Anolis sagrei: one gene and its partners. The protein of the gene in region 4 interacts with the protein of the main gene of each other region in a pairwise test. Links are inferred from orthologs where the notes say so. Each region holds a gene or a part of one and is shown on either strand. Other genes may lie near its edges.

Evidence for each region.
Region 1: the proteins of KPNA1 (region 4) and ANP32B interact in binary tests that used the Homo sapiens proteins (3 or more experiments, as listed by UniProt). The link is inferred for Anolis sagrei from reciprocal best matches to the Homo sapiens genes KPNA1 and ANP32B.
Region 2: the proteins of KPNA1 (region 4) and NUP50 interact in binary tests that used the Homo sapiens proteins (3 or more experiments, as listed by UniProt). The two-hybrid records come from large-scale screens. The link is inferred for Anolis sagrei from reciprocal best matches to the Homo sapiens genes KPNA1 and NUP50.
Region 3: the proteins of KPNA1 (region 4) and SF1 interact in binary tests that used the Homo sapiens proteins (3 or more experiments, as listed by UniProt). The link is inferred for Anolis sagrei from reciprocal best matches to the Homo sapiens genes KPNA1 and SF1.

Annotation. Positions count from the first base shown.
Region 1 is NC_090022.1:150,822,995-150,831,002, reverse strand, and holds the start of ANP32B (acidic leucine-rich nuclear phosphoprotein 32 family member B), read left to right. Parts: upstream 1-4,992; 5' UTR 4,993-5,237; coding exon 5,238-5,291; intron 5,292-8,008. UniProt on the Homo sapiens protein: Multifunctional protein that is involved in the regulation of many processes including cell proliferation, apoptosis, cell cycle progression or transcription.
Region 2 is NC_090025.1:100,037,014-100,044,521, reverse strand, and holds the start of NUP50 (nuclear pore complex protein Nup50), read right to left. Parts: upstream 3,011-7,508; 5' UTR 2,573-3,010; intron 2,420-2,572; exon of another isoform or gene 2,325-2,419; intron 1-2,324. UniProt on the Homo sapiens protein: Component of the nuclear pore complex that has a direct role in nuclear protein import. Actively displaces NLSs from importin-alpha, and facilitates disassembly of the importin-alpha:beta-cargo complex and importin recycling.
Region 3 is NC_090032.1:19,640,117-19,647,337, reverse strand, and holds the start of SF1 (splicing factor 1), read left to right. Parts: upstream 1-4,201; 5' UTR 4,202-4,270; coding exon 4,271-4,763; intron 4,764-5,868; exon of another isoform or gene 5,869-5,945; intron 5,946-7,221. UniProt on the Homo sapiens protein: Necessary for the ATP-dependent first step of spliceosome assembly. Binds to the intron branch point sequence (BPS) 5'-UACUAAC-3' of the pre-mRNA. May act as transcription repressor.
Region 4 is NC_090022.1:170,434,122-170,441,742, forward strand, and holds the start of KPNA1 (importin subunit alpha-5), read right to left. Parts: upstream 3,018-7,621; 5' UTR 2,925-3,017; coding exon 2,768-2,924; intron 1-2,767. UniProt on the Homo sapiens protein: Functions in nuclear protein import as an adapter protein for nuclear receptor KPNB1. Binds specifically and directly to substrates containing either a simple or bipartite NLS motif.

The DNA of each region.
Region 1 (8,008 bases), about 20 Mb from region 4:
AGCTAGTTAGAGTGTCTCTTATTTTAAACATTCTGCTCCCTACTCCCCTTTGTGCCACTAAATTGCAATATCAAATCTAGATTGTGACCCCTAGTGGGTGTTTTTGAGAGATAATGAGAGGTAATGGAGCTTCCTACAGTTTCAAACCCTAATTTACTGAAAACATTTTTCCTACTGTATTGCCATAGAAATAGCAAACCCACAGTGGATTTTAACACTACTTCTATAACTATGAGAAATCAAATAGGGGTCTGCTGGCATTGAATCCTAGTTTGGAACCAGGATTGTTGCTGTTCAACTTGGGAGTGGTTGAAAGAGGAAAAAGCAAAAGCTAGAGTGAATGTACAACTCCAGTGTTTTGTTGTTGCTGTTAATGTTCTATTAAGATAGCTTCAATGTACTATAACCCTATGAATTATAACCCCCAAGATTAACCTGATTCCATCCCTGGGTCCATGGCTTCCCTGATTAAGTCAGTTCCTCTGTAATTTTCCTCCTTGTGACTTCAACTTTACTGAGCGTTACCATGTCATGCCATTTCATGGTATGTCCAAAGTACTTTATTTATTTATTTATTTACTATATTTGTATACCGTCCCTCTTTGCCCAGAGGTGACTCAAGGCAGTTTAGTCGGCAATCAATGCCCCACAAAATAAAATAGTCAAAAACATTACATATAATATAAACTATATAAAAGCAATACAGCAATTAAAACCATAAAGTACAAGTCCTCAGCATCTCATAATTAAAATAATTTTCCGTTGTATCGTCCAATCATTTCATGAGTCTCAATTAATCAGTTATACTGCGTCTGCAAATGCCTGGTCAAACAGCCAGGTTTTAATCCTCTTTTGAAATGTTAGGAGGGAGGGGGGCAATCTAATATCCCTAGGGAAAGTGTTCCATAGCAGAGGGGCCACTGCTGAGAAGGCCCTGTCTCTTGTTCCCACCAATCGGATCTGTGAAGAAGTCATACTGTCTTGTGGTAGTGAGAATTCAGCTTCGATTTGTTCTCAGGCCCATTTCTTTGTCTTTTTGGTTATATAGGCAGTCCCTGGGTTACAGACAAGATAGGTTCTGTAGGTCTGTATGTAAGTCGGAATAGATACATTTGTGAAGGGTAACACCAGGCAAATATATATATATAGCTTTGGATAACACAGGGAAGAGTTAACACCCCTGTAAACCTTGTTTTGCTGTCTGTGCCCCTGCTCAGATTTCACCTCACTTCTTGTCCCTGTGACCAATTTTGAAAAAAAATTACCTGTTGTGGAACCAAGAATTGGTGAGAAAGCTTCAATGACGACACCTTTTCCCCATTATAATAACTCTTCTAGGAGAGGTTTTCCCTTACGAGGGGTAGATTTCTCACTTCCTGTTGTCTCACCCGTTCTTTTTTTAAAAAATATTTTTATTAGCAATTTTTTAATAAATACAACAAGAATAAAAATAGAGGGGGGTTGGGTTATATAAAAAAGGGGGTAAATTGGGGAGGGGAGGGGGCAAGTAGGTCCGGGAAGGAGGAGGTTTGGGGGGGAGGGGGGGAGGGTTTGGGGGGGTTGACTTCCGACTCCGATTTCTCCGCGTTGTTTTCATTTCTTCTGGAAATATCTCTTTTGTGGCTTTTCCCTTGTGGTTCTTATTTTTCTCTTGTTTACTGTTCTACTCATATCTTTTTAAGAGATAGATTTTCTCTCATATATTCATTTAATGGGCTCCAGTCGGTTCTTTTGAGTGGGTGTCCGTATGAGTCTTATAACGCGTAGGTTAACGTGTCCATTTCTCTTATCTCTAGAACTTTCTCCATCCATTCTTCTTCTGTTGGTGTCTCTTTTGATTTCCATTTCCTTGCATAGACTATTCTCGCTGCCGTTGTAAGGAATGTGAGTAGTATGTCTTTATTTGCGCTCAGCTCCCATTCTTCTTTAAATATTCCAAGCAGGTAGCATTCTGCTCTTTCTTGGATCTTCAGCTTGAGAATCTCTTCGCATCTTTTGTTGATCTTCTTCCAGAAATTTTGTGCAATGGGGCAGGACCACCATTGATGGAAGAAAGTTCCAGTTTGTTTGTCGCATTTCCAGCACCTTTTACAGCTATGTTTGTACCCCCGTTCTTAACTAGGCGTCATTTGCAAGTCAGATGTTTGTAACTAGAGGACTGCCTGTACATCTTCATATAATAAAACTATTCCTGGGATTCATTTCAAATTTGTTAAAGAAAGAAAGGACAGTTTACAGTCTAAAGTCTGATGTACACACAACTTCTGAATGTTAACTATGGGGTGAGACATATTGTTTTCATAGCTGCATCAACTATTTGGGAAAATCATCTGACTGGCCAAAAAGGCTACTAAAAAGCCTGGATGAGATTGAATTTTAGTCAGGTTAGAGGAGGTGAGGCTCACATTCAGCCCAAAAAGAAAATAAAGCACTGAAACCTGCCAGAAAACTTTCCCAAGAGGTGGTTTGGGCTCTTCCACACAACTGTATAAAATCCACATGGAACTTGATTATATGGGTGTGGACTCAACCTAGCTGAAAGCAGATATTGTGGAGTAAGTGCATTAATATATTGAGATATATGGCTGTGTGGAAGCATCCTTAATATTTTCACGGGTCTTCTGAAACTTCAGCTGGTACAAAGAGTAGCAGCGAGGTTGCTAACTGGGGCTTGCTCCAGGGAGTGGACACCCCCTTTACAGCAGCTCCACTGGCTGCCAGTCTGTTTCTGGGCACAATTTAGTCCCACCTCCATCTCAAGCTCAGTTGGTTGGTAGGAACGAGAGAGAGAGCGCAAGCCTTCCACACAGCCATATAACCCAGCCTATCAAGGTAGACAACCCCACAGTATCAGATTTAAACTGGGATATATATTCCAGTTCAAAGCCGATAATGTGGGATTTTATACAGCTGTGTGGAAGGGGCCTCGGTGTCTGCCCCTGGTCTCTGGAACCCCCTTCTTCCCAGGGAAGCCAGAATGGCCCCCTCTTTGCTGTCCTTCCAGCGGCAGCAGACTGAAACCTTTCTATTCAGGCAGACTTTTAAAGAAGGAGTTTAAGATAAAGTCAGCAGGTTGCTGTGGTTTTTAAATTGGAGTATGTTTTGATGGATTTTAACTGATGTTTTAGTGCTGTTTGGGTTTTAATTTTTTATATTTTAAATGCCTTACTATTATAACTAGCTGTGCCCGCCATGTGTTGCTGTGGCCAACCTTCCCTCCCTCTTTCTCTCCTTTCTTTTTCTCTTTCCTTTCCTTCCTTCCTTCCCTTTTTTCTTTAATTTCATTTCTTTCCTTCTCCTCTTCCCTTCCTTCCCTTTTCTTTCCCTTTCTGTTTCTCCCCTTTCTTCCTTCTCTACCTATTCTTGGACTGCAACTCCCAGCAGTCCTTCTTATCAATCTATCTACCTACCTATTGCTATCTAATCTATCTATCTGTCTTATCTTTCTGGAGGATTGATGGGAGTCGCCATCCAGGAATAGGAAATTGAAAATATGCAGGGATTGGGATGCTCTCAAAGAAATCCAAGGAGAAGAAAGCTTGCAGCTTGGAAGCAGTGAATTTGGATCATCCTCCTCTCCTAAAGGGCCTGGTCTAGGGGATGCTGGGAGCTGTAGCCTGGAAGAGAGTGTGCTTTTGTGTGTAGTTTGCCAGGGGGAAGCTTTGTTTTTGCGCATGTGCTATCACTGTTTTTTTGTTGTTGCTTTTTTGGCCTTTAAAGTCCGTTCTGTTGTTTTTCAATGTTTTTAGAGGTGATGGTCATTCGTTGGCCTGAGCGGTGTATTGTGTCCAAATTTGGTGTCGATTTGTCCAGTAGTTTTTGAGTTATGTTAATCACAGAAATGAACATTAAATATTTTATTTATATAAACTAGCCATCTCCTGCCACGCATTGCTGTGGCCCAGTCTGTGTATATATGTGTGTGTGTGGTTTTGTGCATGTGTTGTAAGGGTGTTTTTTTTTTGCTTTTTAAGTCTCTTCCACTGTGTTTTTCAGTGTTTTTATGAGTGATGGTCACTCGTTGGCCTGAGAGGTGTATTGTGTCCAAATTTGATGTTAATTCGTCCAGTGGTTTTTGAGTTGTGTTAATCCCACAAACGAACATTACATTTTTATTTCTATAGACTAGCCATCCCCTGCCATGTGTTGCTGTGGCCCAGGCTGTGTATATGTGTTTTTATGTGGTTTTGTGCATGCGTTGTAAGGTGGGGGTGTTTTTTTTGGCTTTCTAAGTCTCTTCCACTGTGTTTTTCAGTGTTTTTATGAGTGATGGTCACTCCTTGGCCTGATAGGTGTATTGTGCCCAAATTTGGGGTCAATTTGTCCAGTGGTTTTTGAGTTATGTTAATCCCACAAACGAACATTACATTTTTACTTATATAGATTAGCCGTCCCCTGCCATGTGTTGCTGTGGCCCAGTCTGTGTATATGTGTTTTGTGTGTGTATATATTTGTGTATATGTGTATATATGTGGTTTTGCCCATGTGTTGTAATGTATTTTTATTTTTTGGCCTTTAAAATCCCTTCTGTTGTTTTTCAGTATTTTTATGAGTGATAGTCATTCGTTGGCCTGAGAGCTGTCGTGTCCAAATTTGGTGTCAATTCGCCCAGTGTTTTTTGAGTTATGTTAATCTCACAAACGAATATTACATTTTTATTTATATAGTAGATTAAATATAATAAGTAAATAAATAAATTCTTGTAATAATAATGATCGAGGCCGGAAGTGAGCAGAGAGGTGCATTTCATGGCTCCCACCTGGAGAAGCCTGGAGAAGGTGGCGAAAATCCTGTCCTTGCAAACCTGTTGTATAAACCAGAATCGAGCGCTGAGGAAGAGATGGACCTGCGGGAGCGATGGCCGGCCGCCATGCCTGTGGCGAAGATGGGGCGAGGGAAGGAGGGAGGGAGGCGGGGTTCCGGGAGGCGGCTCCCCTTCCTCCTCCCCCTCCCCTTCCTCGGCAGCGCCCCCTGCCGGCCGCCCAGCCAGTCAGTCAGTCCTCGCCAGGCCTCGTTGCCAGTTTAACTGCAGTCGCGACGGCGACGAAGGAGGCGCTCGGCGCTCCCGCCCTCCGCAACTCCCCCTCGGCCTCCCTCCCTCCCTCGTTCGCTCGCTCGCCCCAGCGCTGCCCCGCGAGTCCACTCCGCGCCGTGCGCACAGGGCCTAATTCCGGGCCCACACCCCGCTGCTGCTTCCACCTCCGACGACGCCGCCGCCACCACACGACGCCGCCGACATGGACATGAAGAAGCGCATCCACTTGGAGCTGCGGAACCGGACCCCGCCGGATGTAAGTCCGCCTCTGGGCGGGAAAGCGCCGCACTTTCTTTCCCTCACGAGCGGGGCCGGCTTTTAAGAATAGGAAAAAAAAGAGGGGCAAAGAGGGTCAAGCTGGGGGCTCGTGGCGGCGGGGAGGGGGGAAGGGAGGGCGCGTGGAGAGAGAGAGAGAGGCGGGAGAGAGAGCGCGGCTGAGGAGACGCTCCGCGGCCGCCATGTTGTTCAGCCGCTGCGTCTCTTACTGGAGGGCGCGTGGGCTTGCCTGCAGGGAGAGAGAGGGCGAGCGCGCGACACGGAGAGGCTGTTGGCGCCTCTCTTTCCTTGGAGCGCGCGCGCAGCCACCACCGCGTTCATTTCTTTCGTTTCTCGGCTCCCCACCCTTGGTTTTTTTTTTTAATTCCTTTCCCCCTTCTCTTAAACGGGCAACAGCTGCGCCAACGGGGCGGGCTCGCGCGTGCTTGCCTTCCTCGCCCTTCCCCCCCTCCCCCCTTTAAAAAAAGAGGCAGCTGCACAGAGAGAGAGAGAGAGAGCGAACGAGAGCGCGCGAGGAGGAAGCAAGCAATGTGCGCGTGCGAGCGAGCAAACGGGGTCGCGCGCCCTGGTTTCCGCCCTCCCCCCCTCCTCCTCAGAACGCTCGCCTTCCCGCCAAAAAACTTCTCCCTCACACAAACAAAAAAAAAATAGGGTGTAATTTAGACTCCCCCAAAACCCCCTTTGTGGTTTCAAGGAGAGCGCCTATTTAAAGAGACATACGATCTGCCCCTTCTTTGAAAAAGGGAATCGATTGAAAGCCGTAGAATTAAAGCACCCAAGTTGGGGGGGAGGGGGGAGCCGCAAGGAGGTCTCCTTCCTTGCCTGTGGAGAGGCCTCCTCGGCCTGGGGGCCCTGGCTCGGCTTCTGCGGGCGGCTCAGGGCCGTGGCATCCATCTTTAATGCGGTCTTCCTCTTCCCTGCTGCCTCGCACTCTCGCAGGCAGGGTAGGCTCTCCCAACGAGGCACATTTTCCCATGAGGCAACCCAAGTTTGACCGTCTCCTTTTGGTTATTCTGCCTTTCAGAAAGCATTGGCTCTCAGAACCCCCCCCCTTATTTTTTTGGGTAGCACCACATTTCAAATACATTACTTCTCCTCCAATCGTCACAGCCATCCATACAGTCAGCAGTACATAGAAACCACCTTTCTTAGCACATGTTCCTCATTTTATTTTATCTATATAAATAAAAATATAATGTTCGTTTGTGGGATTAACATAACTCAAAATCCACTGGGCGAATTTACACCAAATTTGGACACAAGACACTTATCAGGCCAACGAGTGACCACCACTCGTAAAAACACAGAAGAGACTCAAAAAGCCAAAAAACAAAATTTACAATACAACACATAAAGCCACACACACCTATATATATGCAAGCACACACACACACATAAACACACAAGACACATATACACAGCCTGGGCCACAGCAACGCATGGCAAGGGACGGCTAGTATATACATAAAAATATAATGTTCGTTTGTGGGGTTAACATAACTCAAAACCCACTGGGCGAATTTACACCAATTTGGACACCATGCACCTATCAGGCCGACAAGTGACCACCACTCGTAAAAACACTGAAAAACACAGAAGAGACTCAAAAAGCCAAAAAACAAAATTTACAATACAACACATGTACAAAGCCACACACACACATATACACACAAGACACATATACACAGCCTGGGCCACAGCAACGCATGGCAGGGAACGGCTAGTATATAAATAAAAATATAATGGTCGTTTGTGGGATTAACATAACCCAAAAACCACTGGACGAATTGACTCGAAATTTGGCAGCAAAACATAATAATCCAATTTATGTCTTTCAAACAAAGAACCTTTAAAAAACAAAGGGGAAATAACGTCAAACTCTCCAAAAAGAAAAATACCTTACAGCAAGCATACACAGACACACACACAAAACATATATACACAGACTGGGCCACAGCAACACATGGCAGGGGACAGCATGTTGTTAAAAGAATTCCCTTGCTTTGCACAGCAGGCGTGCCACTAAGTGAATTAAAGTGAAGCCATCTAACACTCATGGCTTTCACCCATGTGCCAAACAGTTTAATCTGCTTGATTCCTGCCCTTAAGAGAACGCATGGGAAGGGCCAAAGGGCCATGTGGAAGGGCCAAAGGTTTTTAAAGCCTGTGAAATTGAAAAATATTTGTAAGGGGTGAGGATGTCCAAAGGAGTGGAGAAATACGTTGGTACAAGAGTAATTTTAACCTGTTAAATTGCTCTTTTTTTCTTTAGTGAAACTGGGGGTCCCTTTTGGCAGATGTGGCACAGTGAATATTACTGATATTAGTGTTTATATCCCACTTTTTCTCCTTCAAATGAAACTAAGGGCCCTTCCACACAGCCCTATATCCCGGGATATCAAGGCAGAAAATCCCACATTATCTGAGTGTGGACTCAGATAACCCAGTTCTAAGCCAATATTGTGGGATTTTCTGCCTTGATATTCTGGGCTATAGGGCTGTGTGGAAGGGCCCTCAGGCCCACACTACCCTATATCCCAGGATCTCATCCCAGATTCTCTGCTTTAAAGTGGATTATATGAGTCCCCATTGCCAGATAACCTGGGATAAACAGATTATTTATTGATTTATTTGCTCTATTTGTGTCCTGCCTTTCTCTACCCCAAAGGGGACTCATGGTGGTTTTACATATGGCAG
Region 2 (7,508 bases), on a different chromosome or scaffold from region 4:
TAATACTGATATTGCACTATGCTAATAATATAATATACTGTATGTATATATATATATATCTTGTAAGCCGCTCTGAGTCCCCTTTGGGTGAGAAGGGTGGCATATAAACGTTGTAAATAAATAAATAATAAATAATAATAGTTGCAGGGCAATGGCATGGAACTGGGACGCCACCAGTGGAGGTGGCAGACAGAGGCAACAGCCGCCTGCCAGGCACAAGAAAACCACGTCTTTGTGCCTCATCAGACTAGAGCAGGGGTCAAACTAAGGCCTGGGGGCCAGATGCGGCCCTCCAAGATCATTCTCCCCCACAAACAATCTGCTCCATCCCTAACTCATCCTGATTTTAGTATTTTTAGTATCTTAGTTTTGATCTTGCACATACAGCCCGCTCATTTTTAGGTTATTTTATTTTACTGTGTATTATTTTGCTTTATTGTCTTTGTACTCATATGATGTATGTATTTTACTTTGTTGTTATTGTGTTTTGGTTTTACTTTATTGTAATATGCTGTTGGGCTTGGCCTCATGTAAGCCGCCCCGCGTCCCCATTGGGGAGATGGTGGTGGGGTATTAAATTTGTTTATTATTATTATTATTATTATTATTACCCGGCCCTCACTCAGGGTCAACCTAAGTCTGAAACGACTTGAAAGCACACCACAACAATCCTATCTCATCAGCCAAAAGCAAGCCCACACTTCCCATTGAAATACTAGTAAGTTTATTTTTATTAAAACTGTTCTTCATTTTAATTATTGTATTGTTTTAAAGTGTTTTTTACACTACAAATAAGATACGTGCAGTGTGCATAGGAATTCATTCATGCTTTTTTTCAAATTATAATCCGACCCTCCAACAGTTTTAGGCAGGGTTCCTCAAACTTTTTAAACAGAGGGCCAGGTCACAGTCCCTCAAACTGTTGGGGGGGGTCGGATTATAATTTGAAAAAAACATGAATGAATTCCTATGCACACTGCACATTATTTTATTTGTAGTGCAAAAACACTTTAAAACAATACAATAATTAAAATGAAGAACAATTTCAACAAACATAAACTTAATAGCATTTCAATGGAAAGTGTGGGCCTGCTTTTGGCTCATGAGATAGGACTGTTGTTGTTGTTTGCTTTCAAGTCATTTCAGACTTAGGCTGACCCTGAGTGAGGGCTGAGTAAATGACCTTGGAGGGCCGTATCCGGCCCCGGGCCTTAGTTTGAGAACCTAGAACATGGCCATATAGCCCAAAAAACCCTACAACAACCCAGCAATTCTGGCCATGAAAGCCTTCGAAAATCCTATCTCATCAGCCAAATGCAGGCCCACACTTCCCATTGAAATACTAATAAGCTTATATTTGTTGAAAATTTTCTTCATTTTAATGTTTGTATTGTTTTTAAGTGGTTTTTTTTTTTTTTGCACTACAAATAAGATATGTGCAGTGTGTCTAGAAATTCATTCATTTTTTTCTTGCCTTGTAAGGAATTCCCCCCCCCCCCCCCCAAATACATTGGCATTTACCTTTTGCATATGATATGGGGGTGGGAGTAGCTGATGACACTATTGCTCTTAGCTAGATAGACACAGTTCTAGTTAGGAATAGTTTGCATGGATTTCCCTTTGAAAGTGTCTTAAACTCGAGTATATGCTATACTTACTTTGTACAAGTTGCTGTCTACATACAGATTTAGACATGTTCCAGTATTTCTGAACGTATATTTTTTGATTATATATGAGATTGTGTCAAATAATTAAATAAAAAAAATTAAGAAAAAAAGAAAGAAATAGGAGACAAATGTTATCTATAAGGTTCATCTCAAAGAGGATTAATATGTGGTGGTGGGAACTATAAATGTTGTGTATGTATTAAACTAATATATATAATTAAAAAAAGTTTGAGGACCCCTGGACTAGAGCATGGATCCTCTTTAAATCCAGTCTCTGCCTCCTGCAAAATTCTGGGGTTTGTAATTTAGGGAGGCCCAGGACCTTGGCTGACCAGTTGAAAGGATGCCCTAACCTACAAACTCCAGGATTTTGCAGGAGGGAGAAACTGGATTCGAAGTGGATCCATGGGCAAACTTGGGCCCTCCGGGTGTTTTGGGCTTCAACTCCCACAATTCCTAACAGCCTACTACAGCTCCCAGAAGCCCCCAGCCTGCAGGCTGGGGGCTTCTGGGAGCTGTAGTAGGCTGTTAGGAATTGTGGGAGTTGAAGCCCAAAACACCCGGAGGGCCCAAGTTTGCCCATACCTACTCTAGTGTGATGAGGTCCCTGCCCGCCTTTGCTCCCTCCCTCCTTCCTCGCCGGGCCTCTGTCCTCACCCTCTTCCCAGGAGGCGGAGCCACAGCGAGGCCCCGCGCGCCAAGGGTTGGCTCCTTCCTCTTGGGACAACAGGAAGGAGGCAGCGGCCCACTCGCTAAGGCAGCCGGTCTAGGAACCCCCGCTTCCTCCGCAGCCCAAGCCTCTCCCCCCTCCCGCCCTCAAGGCGCCAGAGGAAGGCCGGGCCCTCCTCCTCCTCCTTCCCCCTCCCTTCCTCCCCCCTCCCTTCCTTGGCGAAGGCCTCTCTCACCAGGAGAAGCGCCCCGTCCTTTCCGCTTCCCTTCCCCGCGCGCCGAGTAGTGTTACCTCACAGGTGCCGGCTGCGTCTCGCGCCGAGACTTGGGGAGGACGCGCCGTTCGCGCGCAGCTCCACAGCCCCGCCACTTCCGCTCTCGCGCTTCCTCAGGGGGCGGGGCTTCTGAGCGCGGCTCGTCATTCGCCCTCCTTCGCTCGCGACCCCTTTGCCTTTCCCGCTCAGCGGTTTCTTGCCGGGAAGCCGGAGGAAAGGGGAGGGGAGTCTCCTTCCCCTTCTGCCTCACTTTTGAGTTCTTAACGAGGCATTTGTCCTGTTCTCCCCGCCCCCCGAATGAGTTTACGCGTTAGCCGTTGCGCACAGGAGTCCAAGGAAAAGACATGCCTTAAGGGGCGAGCTCGCGAGGCGCGGGCCCAGGAGAAGGAGAGGCCGAGGGGGGCGGGGCTTAACGCGAGGGGAGGGGGAGCCGTTGCCACGCGACCGGGGCCCGAAGGTTCTGGAACAGGCCGCGCTTCTCTCCTCTCGAATGCTAAGTGCAGCCTTGCTCTTGAGGGCCCTGGCCTTACAGTTCACTCTGCCATCGGGCTGAGAGGGAATCGTAACATTGGGCAAAATGGAAGAGAGAGCTTTCTGCCACACGCAGAGAATGAGAGAATCGCTGGGTTGTTGTAGGTTTTTCGGGCTGTATGGACATGTTCTAGAGCAGTGTTTCTCAACCTGGGGGTCGGGACCCCTGGGGGGGTCGTGAGAGGGTGTCAGAGGGGTCACCGAAGACCATCAGAAAACACAGTATTTTCTCTTGGTCATCTGGGTTACGTGTGAAAAGTTAGGTCCAATTCTATTGTTGGTGGGGTTCAGAATGCTCTTTGATTGTAGGTGAACTATAGACCCCAGCAACTACAACTCCCAAATGCCAAGGTCTATTTCCCCCAAACTCCACTAGTGTTCACATTTGGGCATATTGAGTATTTGTGCCAAATTTGGTCCTGATCCATCATTGTTTGAGTCCACAGATGCAGATGAACTACAACTCCCAAACTCAAGATCCATGCCCACCAAACCCTGCTAGTGTTTTCTGTGTGCCAAGTGAGTCCTGTGTGCCAAGATTGGTTCAGTTCCATCATTGGTGGAGATCAGAATGTTCTTTGATTGTAGATGAACTATAAATCCCAGCAAGTACAACTCTGAAATGATAAAACCAATCCCTCCCCACAACCCCACTATTATTCAAATTTGGGCATATTGGGTATTTGTGCCAAATTTGGTCCAGTGAATGAAAATACATCCTGCATATCGGATATTTACATTACGATTCATAACAGTAGCAAAATTACATTTATGAACAATGAAAATAATTTTACGGTTGGGGCTCACCACAACATGAGGAACTGTATCAAGTGGTCGCGGCATTAGGAAGGTTGAGAACCACTGTTCTAGAGGCATTTTCTCCTGACGTTTCACCTGGATCTGTGGCAAGCGTCCTCAGAGGTAGTGAGGTCTGTTGGAACAAGAAAAATGGATTTATATATATGTGGAAAGACCAGAGTGGGACAAGGAACTCTTGTCTGCTGGAGCTAGGTGTGAATGTTTCAACTGACCACCTTGATTAGCATTTGATGGCCTGGCAGTGCCTGGGGCAATCTTTTGTTGAGAGGTGATTAGATGTGCCCAGAATTGGACACTATTCCAGGTGTGGTATGAACAAGGCAGAATAGAGGGGTAGCATGTCTTCCCTGGATCTACATCAGGGGTCATCATACTTTTTAAACAGAAGGCCAGGTGACAGTCCCTCAATCTGTTGGAGGGCCGGATCATAATTTGGAAAAAAAAATGAATTCCTATGCACACTGCACATATTTATTTGTAGTGCAAAAACACTTAAAAGCAATACAATAATTAAAATGAAGAACAATTTTAACAAATATCAACTTATTAGTATTTCAATGGGAAGTGTGGGCCTGCTTTTGGCTGATGAGATAGGATTGCTGTTGTTGTGGTGTGCTTTCATTTCAGACTTAGGTTGGCCCTGAGTGAGGACTGGTACTTAGTTTGAGGAACCCTGATCTAGACGCTATACTCCCATTGGCTTTTTTTTGCTACCGCATCACATCGTTGGCTCATGTTTAACTTGTCCATGAGGACCCCAAGATCTTTTTCGCATGTACTGCTCTTGAGCCAGGCATTGTCCCCCATTCTGTATCTTTGTATTTCATTTTTTCTGCCTAAGTGAGATATCTTGCGTTTGTCACTGTTGAACTTCATTTTGTTAGTTTTGGCCTATCTCTCTAATCTATTAAGATAGTTTTGAATTCTGCTCCTGTCTTCTGGAATATTGGCGATCCTCCCAATTTGGTGTCATCTGCAAACTTGATGGTCATGCCTTCTCACCCTTCATCTAAGTCATTTATAAAGATGTTGAACAGGACCGGGCCCAGGATGGAACCATGCGGCACTCCGCTCATCACTTCTTTTCAGGATGAAGAGGAAGCATTGGTGAGCACTGATATCCTAGGGCTCTTCCCGGCAGGCCCTATATCCCAGGATTTGATCCCAGGTTTTCTGCTTTAATCTGTATTATATGAGTCCACATTGCCAGATAACCTGGGATAAACAGAAAACATTACATATTGGCTATTCAATGCTCACTGTAAATTCAAAACACGTGAACAGGAAAATAACAGAGATATCTTACTCAGAAGTACTAAACATTCAGAGCCATGTGAATCCATGTATTACTCGTTCTTTCATTTTTCAATTGACCATCAAAAAACACGAATATGTTATTTGGTTTTGAATAGGATTTTAATAGTGAATGTAATGTTTTAAACGTTTTACTGGCATTAATTTTAATTTTTAATTTAATTGTTCATTTGAATTGTATGTTGTTTTAAGGCCAGGGGTCCTCAAACTAAGGCCCAGGGGCCGAATGCGGACCTCCGAGGTCATTTACTCGGCCCTCGCTCACGGTCAACCTAAGTCTGAAATGACTTGAAGTACATGACAACAACAACAACAATCCTATCTCATCAGCCAAAAGCAAGCCCACATTTCCCATTGAAATACAAATAAGTTTATATTTGTTAACATTGTTCCTCATTTTAATTATTGCATTGTTTTAAAGTGTTTTTTACACTACAAATAAGATATGTTCAGCGTGCATAGGAGTTCATGCTTTTTTTCAAATTATAATCCGGCCCTCCAACAGTTTGAGGGACTTTGACCTGGCCCTCTGTTTAAAAAGTTTGGGGACCCCTGTTTTAAGGCATTGAATAGTTGCCTATATTTAAAGCCGCTTGAGTCCTCTTTGGGGTTGAGAAAGGCAGGGTATAAATAGGGAAAATAAATAGGTTATCAAAACAAGGCCATGTTTTTCATTATTCCAATTTTAGACTCAGATCAAAAATACAAAATGGAAAAATGAGCTGCCAGACCAAATTTGATTTTAATATTTAATTTTTTCTTCGTGTCTTCCGTGAAATGCACACCTATGGGTTCTCCTGTGCGCATGCGCAGCAATCCGGAACTTCTAGAATTTTAATGAATTTTTAAATGATTATTTTAGAGAATAAAGACAGGCCCCGCCCACTCTCCGCCCCCCCGGTATATCAGCCCCCGCAGGCGTCCCAGAGGTAGTTCCTTTTTCCGCGCCAAACAGGCAGCATCGTCAGGACTTCTCCTTCTTCTTTTCGGACTCTATTGGCTTTTGACCAGGACTCTCTTCGACTACCAGACCTCTCCTTCCCCCGACCACGGACCGGCTGACGACTATTCTATCAGGCTAGATGTCTTCCCTCTGTTTTAAAAATTGTTCCTCCTGCGGGACTAACCTCCCTGAGGCAGACAAACACTCTAAATGCCTCCTATGTCTGGGAGAGACCCACAATCTCCAGACTTGTGAGATTTGCCTGAGCTTCACCTCCAGAGCTCGCAAAGGCAGAGACGCCAGATTAAAAGCTCTTTTGTATGAGCGGGCCCTGGCCCCGCAAGCTCCTCCCGCTCCCTCCCAATCCTCCCCCGTTCAAAATACCTCCCAGCCTCCCTCCCCACGCGTTGGGGATAGGCGGGATGGAGAACAAGCGGGCTCTCCCACTGTGGAGCCGCAGAAAAAGAAAGCAAAATCAGCTAAGCAGACCACGAGGTCTTCAAAAACAAAAGAGAAATCAAACAAACAAAAAAAGGGACGGCAACTCACTGGCACACAGCCCTTGAGTCCCCCTGTATTGCAGTCTGTGCCCTTTCTCCCCGGTTCCACTGTGCAGCTCCAGGAACCGCTCCCCTCTCTCCTCCACATGGAAGACCCCTCCCATCTCCCTCCTCTCGAGCTCCTGGCTCCACATATGGAGCTGGAACCGCAGCCTCCTCCGGACGCTTCCCTCTCCCCCCCGCCTCTCCCACCCTCTCAGAACTCACCTCCTCCTTCACTCAGCCCTCCCCAATCCCCGGAACCAGAGGAGTCACCTTCCTCGGCTCGGCCCAGCGCCTCTGCGCACCCCAGCGGGCGCCGCCGCCGCTCTCCATCCCCGGATCCACGCCAAACTACAACTCCTTCTCTTCCCCCTCCCAAAAGGACACGCACAGTGCCTCCTTCCCACCAGCAGCCTTATGGGTACCAGGAATACCCTTATTATATGTACCCTCCCCCTCCTCCCTTCCCGGCTTATCCTTTCTACTACCCACCCCCCCCCTGACTCATTCAAGGGGATGCACCCTCCTCATTACTCTGACCCAAACCTTCCCCAACCCCCCCGTGAACCCCCTTCAGCTACACTCTCTCGGCCCCCAGACCCCCAGGGAGACATGGATCCGCAGGTTTTCAATTTAGAACCGGCTATGCCTCACCAAATTGAAACAGATACAATTGATTTGGAGGCCACGAGTGACACACCAGTCATTCAAGACCCCCAACCAGACCCTGACCCGTCTCCTCAACATT
Region 3 (7,221 bases), on a different chromosome or scaffold from region 4:
TTGGCTCATACGCAGCTAATCACCTACCAACAAACGATTCCCCCAGGCAGTAAGAAGTCATGCCTTGAAAACTGCTAGGCCATTAAATGCTAATCAAGGTGGCCAATTGAAACATTCACACCTACGTCCAACAGACAAGTTCTTTCACCCACCCTGGACATCATTCCACAGAGATATAAACCCCATCTTCCTCGTTTCCAACAAACCTCACAACCTCATAACCATAATACAACAATATGATTTATTTATTTGTCGTGTCAGAACAACCAGTCTAACAGAACAAAGCAAACAAACAGAAAAATACACAACTTGTGAGTTTGGTAGCTGGTTAAATGTCCTTTGACCAGTTTCTGGCCCCTTGGAGTGCCTCTGGTGTTGCCGCAAGAAGGTCCTCCATTGTGCATGTGGCAGGGCTCAGGTTGCATTGCAGCAGGTGGTCAGTGGTTTGCTCCTCTCCACACTCGCATGTCGTGGATTCGACTTTGTAGCCCCATTTCTGAAGGTTGGCTCTGCATCTCATGGTGCCAGAGCGCAGTCTGTTCAGCGCCTTCCAGGTCGCCCAGTCTTCTGTGTGCCCAGGAGGGAGTCTCTCATTTGGTATCAGCAATTGGTTGAGGTGCTGGGTTTGAGCCTGCCACTTTTGGACTCTTGCTTGCTGAGGTGTTCCAGCGAGTGTCTCTGTAGATCTTAGAAAACTATGTCTAGATTTAAGTCGTTGACGTGCTGGCTGATACCCAAATAGGGGATGAGCTGGAGATGTCTCTGCCTTGGTCCTTTCACTATTGGCTGCCACTTCCCGGCGGATGTCAGGTGGTGCAATACTGGCTAAGCAGTGTAATTTCTCCAGTGGTGTGGGGCGCAGACACCCCGTGATAATGCGGCATGTCTCATTAAGAGCCACATCCACTGTTTTAGCGTGGTGAGATGTGCTCCACACTGGGCATGCATACTCAGCAGCAGAGTAGCATAGCGCAAGGGCAGATGTCTTCACTGTGTCTGGTTGTGAACCCCAGGTTGTGCCAGTCAGCTTTCGTATGATATTGTTTCTAGCACCCACCTTTTGCTTGATGTTCAGGCAGTGCTTCTTGTAGGTCAGAGCACGGTCCAGAGTGACTCCTCCCATGTATTTGGGTGCGCTGCAATGCTCCAGTGGGATTCCTTCCCAGGTAATAATCCTCAGAGCTCGGGATGCTTGTCTGTTCTTGAGATGAAGGGCACATGTCTGTGTTTTAGATGGATTAGGGATCAGCTGGTTTTCCCTGAAATAGGCAGTAAGAGCACCTAGAGCTTCGGAGAGCTTCTGTTCTACCATCTCAAAGCTGTGTTGAGGCCTCGGCCTTTGTAAGCCGCATCGAGTCATGCGGGAGATGCTAGCGGGGTACAAATAAAGTTAATAATAATAATAATAATAATAATAATTTTCCTCGTTTCCAACAAACCTCACAACCTCATAACCATAATACAACAATATGATATAATAATGTAATAATAATATTATATTATAATAGAAATATTATATAATATATTATTATATGATATAATATTGCATACTAATATAATAATTGTTAATATTATATAATTTATCATAATTCTATATACAATTATTATAATATAGTATAATAATTTAAAAATAATAATATTACATATATATATAGTATAATAATATCATACTATAGTAATTATAACCATAATGTAATAATATAATATAGTATAATAATGTTAATATAATACATATTATTATATAGTGATATAATATAATATTGTATAATACTATAATAATTATTAATATTATATAATTTATTATAATTCTATATATAATTATTATAATATAGTATAATAATTTAAAAATAATAATGTCACATATATAAAGTATAATAATATCATACTATAGTAATTATAGCCATAATGTAATAATATAATATAGTATAATAATGTTAATATAATAATATAATATATATTATTATATGATATAATATAATATTGTATAATAATGTAATAATTGTTAATATTATATACTTTATTATAATTCTATAATTATTATAATATAGTATAATAATGTTAATATAATAATATAATATATATTATTATATAGTGATATAATATAATATTGTATAATAATATAATAATTGTTAATATTTTATAATTTATTATAACTCTATATATAATTATTATATGTATATTGATTTAATAATAATAATGTCATATATATAAAGTATAATATCATACTATAGTAATTATAACCATAATGTAATAATATAATATAGTATAATAATGTTAATATAATAATATAATATATATATTATATAGTGATGTAATATCATATTGTATAATAATATAATTGTTAATATTATATAATTTATTATAATTCTATATATAATTATTATAATATAGTATAATAATTTAAAAATAATAATGTCACATATATAAAGTGTAATAATATCATACTATAGTAATTATAATCATAATGTAATAATATAATAATATAGTATATTAATGTAGTAATGAGGATGCCTGCAGTACTATTTTTTTCCCTTTTTGGCCCAAGCGGGATTCGAACTCGCGACCTCCTGATTCATTTGCAACACCAGGCTTAGGCCCTAACTCCCGCCAGCCTCGTGGATGGAAGAAAACGTGGGCCAATCAAATGCCTCCTTATTTCCCTCTGCGGCGCTACTTTATTTCACCGTCCAATGGTAGCCCGAGCTTCCACTGACGTCACTTATCTCTATGGGACTCGTGGCAGAAAAGTCCCTCAGGAAGCGGGCCATGTGGCAGCGAGGAGGGAAAGTCCTGAAAGCAATTGAGCTTCACCAATCACAGCGTTAGATTCCCCTAGATCCCGCCTTCCAAAATGGACGCGGTATGCTCCCGCCTACTAAGGCCTAAGTATCAAATCAGCGCGCGGGACACCTTGAAAGACAGAGGACGTGAAGGCTGTGTCTGGCTAATGACGGTTGATGGACGCGGCTGTTGACCAATTGGCGTCCATTAGGCGCTAGCTAGAGGAGGGAACCAATCACAGCGGTGCAGCCAATCAAAGCGGTAGATATTTGACAGACGCGGCTCTTGCCCAATCGGCGGAGTGAAGGACTGCTTTGGCGGCCATTAGACGCCGTGATAGATAGAGGAGGAACCAATCACAGCGGTGCAGCCAATCAGAGCGGTGCAGATTTGATAAACGCGGCTCTTGCCCAATCGGCGGAGAGGAGGACTGCTTTGGCGGCCATTAGACGCTGTGATAGATAGAGGCGGGACCAATCACAGCGGTGCAGCCAATCACAGCGGTGTACATTTGATAGACGTGGCTCTTGCCCAATCGGTTGAGTGAAGGACTGCTTTGGCGGCCATTAGACGCCTTGATAGATAGAGGAGGAACCAATCACAGCGGTAGAGATTTGATAGACGTGGCTCTTGACCAATCGGTGGAGTGAAGGATGTCTTTGGCGGCTATTAGACGCTGTGTTAGATAGAGGCGGAACCAATCACAGCAATGCAGCCAATCAAAGCGGTAGAGATTTGATAGACGCGGCTGTTGCCCAATCGGCGGAGTGGAGGACGGCTTTGGCGGCCATTAGACGCCGTGATAGATAGAGGCGGAACCAATCACAGCGGTGCAGCCAATCAAAGCGGTAGAGATTTGATAGACGCGGCTGTTGCCCAATCGGCGGAGTGGAGGCGTGCTTTGGCGGCCATTAGGCGGGCAGGGCTACCTTGAGAGATAGAGGAGGAAACCAATCAGAGTGGTGGAGGTTTGATAGACGCGGCTCTTGCCCAATCGGAGTGAAGGACTGTATTGGCGGCCATTAGACGCCTTGTTAGTTAGAGGAGGAACCAATCACAGCCGTGCAGCCAATGACAGCGGAAGAGATTTGATAGACGTGGCTCTTGCCCAATCGGCGGAGTGAAGAACGGCTCAGGCGGCCATTAGGCGCGCAAAAGTACCTTGATAGATAGAGGAGGGAACCAATCTCAGCGGTGCAGCCAATCACAGCGGTGCGAACTTGATAGACGCGGCTCTTGCCCAATCGGTGGAGTGAAGGATGTCTTTGGCGACCATTAGGCGCACAAAAGTACCTTGATAGATAGAGGAGGGACCCAATCTCAGCGGTGCAGCCAATCAAAGCTTTAGAGATTTGACAGACTCGGTTCTTGCCCAATCGGCGCAGTGACGGACGGCTGCCTCAGCCAATCGGCGCGCGCGGTCTTTGTGAGGCGAGCCTTTGGCGTGGAAGCTTCGCGAACGGGCCTGGGACGCCATTAAGCGCCGTCGATGGCGACCGGAGCGAACGCGACGCCTCTGGGGAAGCTCCATCCGCCGCCGCCGCCGCCTCCTCCGCCGGGGAAAGCCGGCTACCCGCTCCCTCCGCCGGGCCTCGTGATGCAGGGGCCTCCTCCTCCTCCGCCGCCCGCGCAGGCCCAGCCCCAGCCGGCCATCCCCAGCCTCATGGCGGCCGCCGCGGCCTTCCCTTTCGCCGCGCTCCCGCCGCCGCCTCCTCCGCCGCCTCCACCACCTCCTCCTCCGCCTCAGCAACCCCAGCCTCCGCCTCAGCAACCTCCACCTCCTCCGCCGCCTCAGCAAGGGCAGCAGGCGCCTCAGCAGGCCCAGTACGCCCAGTACCGCTTCCCCTCGCCTCCCCCGCCGCCTCAGGCCGCGCTAGGCCTCGAGCAGCAGCAACAGCAGGCTCAGGCCGTGGCGGCCCAGCAGCACCTCCACCTCCACCTCCAGCAGCAGCAGGACGAGGGCGGCCAGGCCGGGAGCCAAGGCAAGTCCGCCTATCTCGCGCTCAGCCCAAGTATGTACCGTGGCTGCTTTGCCTTCCTCTGGGTAGGCCGGGCAAGGGACACCCCGCTTGGGTTGGACTCCTCGCAGCCTCAGGCCCCTTCCTTAAGCAACTGAGGGGAGAAAAGAAGGGGCCTGAGGACAATTGGCACACAAGAATTTATTTATTTACTTCATTTACTTTGTTTGTATACAGCTCTTCTCAGCCCTTCGGCGACTCAGAGCGGTTAACAACAAACAACAGCAAAAATTCAAGGCTAGCATCATACAAACCATTTAAAAACAATTAACACAATGGGTTGTTGTAGGCTTTTTCGGGCTGTATGGCCATGGTCTAGAGCAGTGGTTCTCAACCTGGGGTCCCCAGATGTTTTTGGCCTACAACTCCCAGAAATCCCAGTCAGTTTACCAGCTGTTAGGATTTCTGGGAGTTGTAGGCCAAAAACATCTCAGGACCCCAGGTTGAGAACCACTGGTCTAGAGGCATTCTCTCCTGACGTTTCGCCTGCATCTCTGTATATATATATATATATATATATATATATATATACATATCTATATCTAGAATGACTGGGGTGGGGCAAAGGACTCTTCTCTGCTGGAGCTAGGTGTGAATGTATTGTTATTATTATTATTATTATTTGATGCACTTATTGACCGCCATTCTCAGCCCATAAGGGCGACTCATGGCGGTGTACAGTACACATAAAAGACAATTACAAAAAGCCAGTTTCGACAACATATAGACTATACAACAACTACAAACTACACTAAAAATCCGCTTCGTCTCTTAGTGGAATCATAGCCAGTCTCATTCCAGTTCCGTTCCAGTTCTCATAACCGTATTATTAGCACTTAATTAAATGCCCTCTCGAAAAGCCATGTCTTAAGGCTTTTTCGAAAGGACATGAGGGAAGGCGCCTGTCTGATGTGTGCAGGGAGAGTGTTCCACAGCCGGGGGGCCACCACCGAGAAGGCCCTCTCCCTCGTCCCCGCCAGCCGTGCCTGTGAGGCAGGCGGGACCGAGAGAAGGGCCTCCCCAGACGATCTCAAGGTCCTCGTGGGCTCGTAGGCTTTCATGGCCTCCACCTCCAGCAGCAGCAGCAGGACGAGGGCGGGCAGGCCGGGAGCCAAGGCAAGTCCGCCTATCTCGCGCTCAGCCCAAGTATGTACCGTGGCTGCTTTGCCTTCCTCTGGGTAGGCCGGGCAGGGGACACCCCGCTTGGGTTGGATTCCTAACAGCCTCAGGACCCTTCCTTAAGCAGGTGAGGGGGAAAGGAAGGGGCCTCAGGCCAGTGGGCCCACAATAATAATAATAATAATAATAATAATAATAATAATAACTTTTTTATCGTGTCATCAGCAGCCATACCATTGTGTTACAATTCTAACGGAACAAAACAAACACACAGATTAAAAAGAAAAAAAACACACACAGATTTTGCAAATTTGGTATTCGGTTAAATGTCCTTTGACCAGTATCTGGCCCCTTGGAGTGCCTCTGGGGTTGCCGCAAGAAGGTCCTCCATTGTGCATGTGGCAGGGCTCAGGGTGCATTGCAGCAGGTGGTCAGTGGTTTGCTCTTCTCCACACTCACATGCCGAGGATTCCACCCTGTAGTCCCATTTCTTGAGGTTGGCTCTGCATCTCGTGGTGCCAGAGCGCAGTCTGTTCAGCACCTTCCAAGTCGCCCCGTCTTCTGTGTGCCCAGGGGGGAGTCTCTCATCTGGTATCACCCACGGATTGAGGTGCTGGGTTTGAGCCTTTCACTTTTGGACTCTTGCTTGCTGAGGTGTTCCAGCCAGTGTCTCTGTAGATCTTAGAAAACTATTTCTAGATTTAAGTTCTTGACGTGCTGGCTGATACCCAAACAGAGGATGAGCTGGAGATGCCCCTGCCTTGGTCCTTTCACTATTGGCTGCTACTTCCCGGCGGATGTCAGGTTAATGTAATACAAAATAATAATAACAGAATAAAACAATGGAAATGTAATAATAGAGTAAAATAATGGAAATGTAATAATAACAATAAATAGAGTAAAATAATAGTAAGTAAGCTTTATTATGGTTGATGACCAGATCATAATGTAATAAAATAATAGAGTAAAATAATGTAAATGCAATAATACTAATAATAATAATAGAGTAAAATAATAAATCTAATAATAGTAGAGTAAAAGAATAAATGTAATAACAATAATAAATAGAGAAAAATAATAAATGTAATAAAATAATAATAGAGTAAAATAATGTGAATGTAATAATAGAGTAAGATAATAAATGTAATAAAAATAATACTAATAACAGAGTAAAATAATAAATAACTTTGATTCTAGTATAAGCCGAGGGGAGCTTTTTCAGCCTAAAAAAGGGACTGCAAAACTAGGCTTATACTCGAGTATATACAGTTAGTTGTCTGGGTTTTTGAAGTTTGGTAACAGT
Region 4 (7,621 bases):
GGTGGAATTAGTCTCTGAAGCAACAGCAATTATGATTGAGGGTTCATCACATTAATTACTGCAGCATAATTTCTTGTTAACCAAATGCCTCTAATGCCCTAAAATGTGTAAATCTCCACTTGCGACTTTTGCCTGAAGTGTCTCTGACAATGGTAGGAAAATGGTAAACACTATTAATAAGAATACTAATTATAGCACTAATAATAATAATAATAATAATAATAATTTGTATTTGTTACTTGCTTCTCCTAACAGCTTGAGGTGGGCACAGTCAAAACACATCCACATAAAATGCATGCAACAAAACAAGCGTTGGCCTATAAAGCCTTAAACGGTTCCGGCCCAAGATACCTATCCGACCGCATCTCGACCTACGAGCCCACCAGGACTTTGAGATCTTCCAGGGAGGCCCTGCTCTCGATCCCGCCTGCTTCACAAGCATGGCTGGCGGGGACGAGAGATAGGGCCTTCTCGGTGGTGGCTCCTTGGCTGTGGAACACCCTTCCCGTGGACATCAGACTGGCTCCTTCCCTGATGATATTCCGCAGGAAATTAAAGACTTGGTTGTTCAAGAAGGCGTTCGAACAAGAAGTGCAATGATTGGTAATGACTATAGGAATGGAACAACGGAAAATGATACTGGTTTATGATTTGGACGATGAGACGACGTGGAATGGTTTCTGTAGTAATGATGATGTTTTTGTATAATGCTGAAGTGTGAATTGTTTTGATACTGTGTTTTGAATTTTGTTCCTCTTATGTTGTACACCGCTGTGAGTCGCCCCTGGGCTGAGAACAGCAGTATATAAGCAAAGCAAATAAATAAATAATAAATAAAACAGCTATATCAAAACACACCATTATAAAATATTCACAGTAAAACACATGGTACAAAGATCAAAATACAGCAGTAACAGAATGAAAATGCAAAACTCATTGTTTAAAGTTGACTGGGTAGGCCTGTCAAAAGAGATGTGTGAGAGTTATTAATTTATTTATTCATTTACAGCATATAATGGCCTGATAGCACAACAACAGGGAGGAAACAAACAAGGACATCTCATCACCTCTCAACAAAAGTTGGCTCCAGGCACTGCCAGGCCATCATATGCTAATCAAGGTGATCAGTTGAAACATTCACACCTAGCTCCAGCAGACAAGAGTCCTGGTCATTCAACAGGTATATAAACCCTTTTTCCTAACTCCAACAGACCTCACTACCTCTGAGGATGCTTGCCATAGATGCAGGCGAAACGTCAGGAGAGAATGCCTCTAGACCAGTGGTTCTCAACCTTCCTAATGCCGCGACCCCTTAATACAGTTCCTCATGTGTTGGTGACCCCCAACCATAACATTATTTCTGTTAGTACTTCGTAACTGTAATTTTGCTACTGTTACGAATTGTAATGTAAATATTTGATATGCAGGATGTATTTTCATTCACTGGACCAAATTTGGCACAAATACCCCATATGACCAAATTTGAATACTGGTGGGGTTGGAGGGGATTCATTTTGTCATTTGGGAGTTGTAGTTGCTAACCTATAATCAAAAAGCATTCTGAACTCCACCAACAAAGGAATCGAGCCAAATTTGACACACAGAACTCCCAAGACCAAGAGAAAGTACTGGAAGGATTTGTTGGGCGTTGATCTTGAGTTTTGGAGTTGTAGTTCACCTACATCCAGAGAGCACGGTGGACTCAAGCAATGATGGATCTGGACCGAACTTGGCACGAATACACAATATGCCCAAATGCAAACACTGGTGGAGTTTGTGGAAAATAGACCTTGACATTTGGGAGTTGTAGTTGCTGGGATTTATAGTTAACCTACAATCAAATAGCACTCTGAACCCAGCCCAAAATGGATCTGCACCAAACTTGGCACACTACTGACATGGCCAACATTAACTACTGGTGGGATTGGGGGGGGGGGGCTGTTTTTGAATTCTGGGAGTTTTCATTCACCAACACCAAAAAGGATGAGGACAGGCGGAGAGATCTTCAGCCTTCTCTACCAAAAGGGTTCCTAAGACCATGAGAAATATGTGTTTTCTCATGGTCTTTGGCGACCCCTCTGAAACCCCCTCACGACCCACCCAGGGGTCCCGACCCCCAGGTTGAGAAACACTGCACTAGAGCATGGATCCATTCGAGGGGGAACTATATAATTTCATTTGTATAAGTAATTATAATAATACTAAAGATCCCAGCCTATATAATGTATGTTGGCCATATAGCCCGAAAACATGGCCATATAGCCCGAAAAAACCTACAACAACCCAGTGATTCCGGCCATGAAAGCCTTTGACAATACATTGAGTTTTCTGCCTTGATATTCTGGATTATATGGCTGTGTGGAATGGCCTCTCAGGGCCCTTCCAGACAGGCCCAATCTCCCGGGATCTGATCCCAGGATTTCTGCTTTAAATTCGACTATTTGAGTCCGCACTACCAAATAATCTGGGATAAACAGAAAACCTGGGATCAGATCCTGGGATATAGGGCCTGTCTGGAAGTGCCCTAAGAGGCCCAGAGCCTGGCATCTCCGGTGGATGACAGTTGAGTGATGAAGATTTTGCCCTGAAAGCGGGTGGTGGGTAGGTAGGTGGGTGGGTGGGCGGGACGGTGAGGAGCAGCTGCCTGGTGGCCTGGCGTGGCCTTGCTGCCCCGCCCCCAACTCCCGGGCCTCCCGCCGCCATTCCGCCCCACAGCCCACACCCACGCCCAGGCCTCTTTCCGCCGCGGCCTTGCCAGCCCCGTCACCTGCGCTTGCGGCCGGCCCCACGGCCAGGCCCACGACGCCAAGGCCCTCCTCCTCCTCCGCCGCCGCCGCCCCGGCGCGCAAAGGCGCCCCTCTCTCCTCGCCAGGCGAAGCCGGCTGCGCACGCTCCCAGCGCGCACGCGCCACCGGGCCGGCCATTTGGCGCAGCTTCCGGTGCGCGCGTGACGTTCCTCAGCTCCGCTCCGCTCGGCTTGTTTACTTATCTCTATGGTTATGTTGCGGCCTGGAGAGGAAGAGCTAGCCGGGGTGTCCCGCCCTCTCTCACCCCGGAAGTGCTGCTCTTGTGGAGGGAGGGAAGGGTGGAGGAGCAGGCCGACAGCGCCACTCGCCTCAAAGAGGCCCTTGGAAGCCGCTCCCTTCCGTGTCTCTCCCTCTCGGCCCTTCTAATGGGGAGGCCAGGCCGGCCCTGAAGCCCCTGGAGAGCGAGGACGCGCCATTGCAAGCCGCCTTCCCTGCCCACGCCCCGCCCCACGGTGACAGGGGGAGGGCCTCGCAGGGCAAGTGGCCTGGCTGATTCTCTCACACTAGAAGCAACTTGCAGTATGAATGAATGAGTTTGTTTGTTTGTTTGTCGTGTCAGGAGTTTATTTATTTATCGTGTCATCAAGAACCATTGTATTACAATTCTAACAGAGCAAAACAAACACAGAGATTTTAAAAAAAGGAAAAAAAAACACAGATTTTGCAAATTTGGTATTTGGTTAAATGTCCTTTGACTAGTATCTGGCCACTTGGAGTGCTTCTGGTGTAAGAAGGTCCTCCATTGTGCATGTGGCAGGGCTCAGGTTGCATTGTAGCAGGTGGTCTGTGGTTTGCTCTTCTCCGCACTCGCATGTCGAGGATTCCACTTTGTAGCCCCATTTCTGAAGGTTGGCTCTGCATCTCATGGTGCCAGAGCGCTGTCTGTTCAGCGCCTTCCAAGTCGCCCAGTCTTCTGAGTGCCCAGGGGGGAGTCTTTCATCTCGTATCACCCACGGATTGAGGTGCTGGGTTTGGGCCTGCCTCTTTTGGACTCTCGCTTGCTGGGGTGTTCCAGCGAGTGTCTCTGTAGATCTAAGAAAACTATGTCTTGATTTAAGTTGTTGATGTGCTGGCTGATACCCAAACAGGGGATGAGCTGGAGATGTCTCTGCCTTGGTCCTTTCACTATTGGCTGCTACTTCCCGGCGGATGTCAGGTGGTGCAATACCGGCTAAGCAGTGTAATTTCTCCAGTGGTGTGGGGCGCAGACACCCTGTGATAATGCAGCATGTCTCATTAAAAGCCACATCTACTGTTTTAGTGTGGTGAGATGTGTTCCACACTGGGCATGCATACTCAGCAGCAGAGTAGCATAGTGCAAGGACAGATGTCTTCACTGTGTCTGGTTGTGATCCCCAGGTTGTGCCAGTCAGCTTTCGAATGTTTCTACTTTTTGTTTGATGTTCACGCAGTGCTTCTTGTAGGTCAGAGCACGGTCCAGAGTGACTCCCAGGTATTTGGGTGTGTTGCAATGCTCCAGTGGGATTCCTTCCCAGGTAATCCTCAGAGCTTGGGATGCTTGTCTGTTCTTAAGGTGAAAGGCGCATGTGTCAGGAGTGACTGCAAGTCGCTTCTGGTGCAAGAGAATTGGCCCTCTGCAAGGACGTTGCCCAGGAGACACCCGGATGATTTGATGTTTTTATCATCCTTGTGGAGTAAATGAATTAAAACTTTAGTTCTTCTCTGCCTATCTCCCCAGAGGGTGGCTTACAACACATAAAAAGGCAAACGTTCAATGGCAAATAATAATAATAATAACAATCTTCTATCTATCTATCTGATAATCTATATAAATAAAAATGTAATGTTCGTTTGTGCTATTCACAGAACTCAGAAACCACTGGGGGAATTGACACCAAATTTGGACACGAGACACCTAACAGTCCAATTTATGTTCTCCACTCAAAAAATAATTAACTGGAAAGAACTTACCCCCCACAAGGCTAAATGCCTATATAGAGCCGGTGTTTTATTTATTTTTTATTTCAGACACTTCTACCCCGCCCTTCTCACCCCGGGGGGGACTCAGAGCGGCTTACAAAGGCACAATTCGATGCCGGCATCAATACAAAACAATACAACAATAAAAACAGTATAGCAGCAATTAAAGTTAAAAACAATTAAACGGTCGGTTCTCAGTTCTACAACACGTCAATAAACCAGTTTAGCATTCAGCGTTCGCTGTCTCAGAGTCCATAGTTTCAATTCCACATTGTCAGTCCTGTTAATTCTAGTAGTCCATTGTCCTTAGCTGCCGGGTTGCCCGAAGGCCTGGTCCCATAACCACGTTTTTAATTTCCTTCTAAAGGAGAGGAGGGATGTTGCTGGTCTGATCTCACCCGGGAGCGAATTCCACAGGTGAGGGGCCACGACCGAGAAGGCCTTGCTCCTTGTCCCCACCAGCCTCACTTGTGATAGAGGTGGGGTCGAGAGCAGGGCCTCCCCAGATGATCTCAGATTCTGAGGTGGGACGTAGAGGGAAATGCGTTCGGACAGGTACGCCAGACCGGAGCCGTATAGGGTTTTGTAGGTCAAAACCAGCACTCTGAATTGTGCTCGGAACTGGATCGGCAGCCAGTGGAGCTGACATAGCAGAGGGGTGGTATGCTCTCTGTATGACGCTCTGGTGAGTAATCTGGTTGCCGCCCGCTGGACTAACTGAAGTTTCCGAACAGTCTTCAAAGGCAACCCCACATAGAGTGCGTTGCAGTAATCTATTCGGGATGTAACAAGAACGTGGACCACTATGGCCAGATCAGACTTCTCCACGTACGGGTGCAGCTGGGGCACAAGTTTTAATTGTGCAGAGGCTCTCCCGGCCACCGCTGAGACCTGGGGTTCCAGGCTCAGCAATGAGTCCAGGATCACTCCCAAGCTGCGAACCTGCATCTTCAGGGGGAGTGTTACCCCATCTAACACAGACTGTAACCCTATGCCTTGTTCGGCCTTGTGACTGACCAGTTGTACCTCTGTCTTGTCTGGATTCAGTTTCAATTTATTAGCTCTCATCCAGTCCGACACAGCGGCCAAGCACCGGTTCAAGGTCTGGACAGCCTCCTTGGTGACAGGTGAGAAGGAGTGACAGATTTGGACATTTGGACCGTAACAGCGGCCAAGCACTGGTTCAGGACCTGAACAGCCTCCTTAGTAGCAGGTAAAAAGGAGTGACAGAGTTGGACATCATCCACGTACAGATGACACTGTGTATACAATGGCTGGTGTATACAAACAAGCAAACCTTTTCAGGACCAGCTTTGACAATAATCTCAATTATCATCAAAAGCATGTCAGCTACCAATGAACTGTTGCTTTATGAACTGAGCCAAGATAAATGTGATGTTTTGTGTCCAAGAAACATCACATTTATCTTGGCTCAGTTAGATCAGTGGTTCTCAACCTGTGGGTCCCCAGATGTTTTGGCCTTCAACTCCCAGACATCCTAACAGCTGGTAATTTTTTTTTCTTGCTGCAAAATTTCTTTTGTGTCCAAGAAACACACAGAGATAATCAACAGAAATGACCAAAAGTTCCAGGAATGATCTTAGTGGCGGAAAGACCACATGTGCAGTATGGAAGTTCTGGCTTTGTAAAACTAAGCTTCAAAGTCAGCAGTGCCCACAATACTGGAGAAAACAATGTAGAGCAGGTATGGGCAAACTTTGGCCCTCCAGGCATTTTGGACTTCTACAAAAACAGTGACAGATTTGGACATTTGGACCGTAACAGCGGCCAAGCACCGGTTCAGGACCTGAACAGCCTCCTTAGTAGCAGGTAGAAAGGAGTGACAGGAATTATGGCTGTTAGGAATTATGGGAGTTGAAGTTCAAAACACCTGGAGGGCCTAAGTTTGCCCATGCCTGATAGAGAGGTTATAACAGTAGAGCTTAGTAATATCACAATTACCTCTCTATATAAGCCCCCAAATGAAGAGTTTTGTTTCTCCTCTCCTGAGAACTTTGATAGGCATCAAAGGGCGGTAGTAATTGGTGACTTTAATAGCTGTAGGGGGCTATGCACAGGAGTATAAAAATGGAGAGGCTGTTTTTTCCTGGGCTGAATTGCATAAACTATTGCTTATTCATGATCATAAGTTCCCATCATCCTACAACAGTATGAGATGGTACTGAGGATATAACCCAAACCTGCTCGTGAGCGACAGTATTGTGCATCAATCAGTGGGATCACCAACATTAAACACACAGCATTGGCCGATCATATGCCAGTTGTTTCCAGCTGTAAGAGCTCAGGAAGTTCGATTCAACTTCAGAAAGGCAGATTGGTCTATGTTAGATGACAAGATTATGACGGTTGCCCCAATCCCTGAGGAATACAAGCGCTATCTCTTCCTGAACACCAGAGGCTAGATCTTTCATTTTATAGAGCATGTCACAAAAAGGCTGCTGGTGGTGAAATCACTAGACAGGCAGAAATCACCAGTGTTCAGAATCTTTTGAGACAGATCTTGACAAAAAATGGGTTTGGTTGAGAGCCAATCGGACAAATAGGGAACCCCTCCCCCCATCTTCTAGACAAAAGCATTTAACTGAGTGCTATATTAACTGGTAATGACAACTGGAACGGAATATGGACTACGAGATTGGTTATGATTCTACGATAAGACGGAGCGGATTATTTTAGTGTAATTAGATGATTGTGTATTAGTGATATGTTGGTTTTTTTCCTTATGGCTTATTGTAAATTGTCTTTTATATGTTGTACACCGCCGTGAATCGCCCTAGGGCTGAGAACGGCGGTTAACAAATGCAGCAAATAAATAAATAAATAAATAAAAGCTTGAAAGAAGGAAAAGTAAA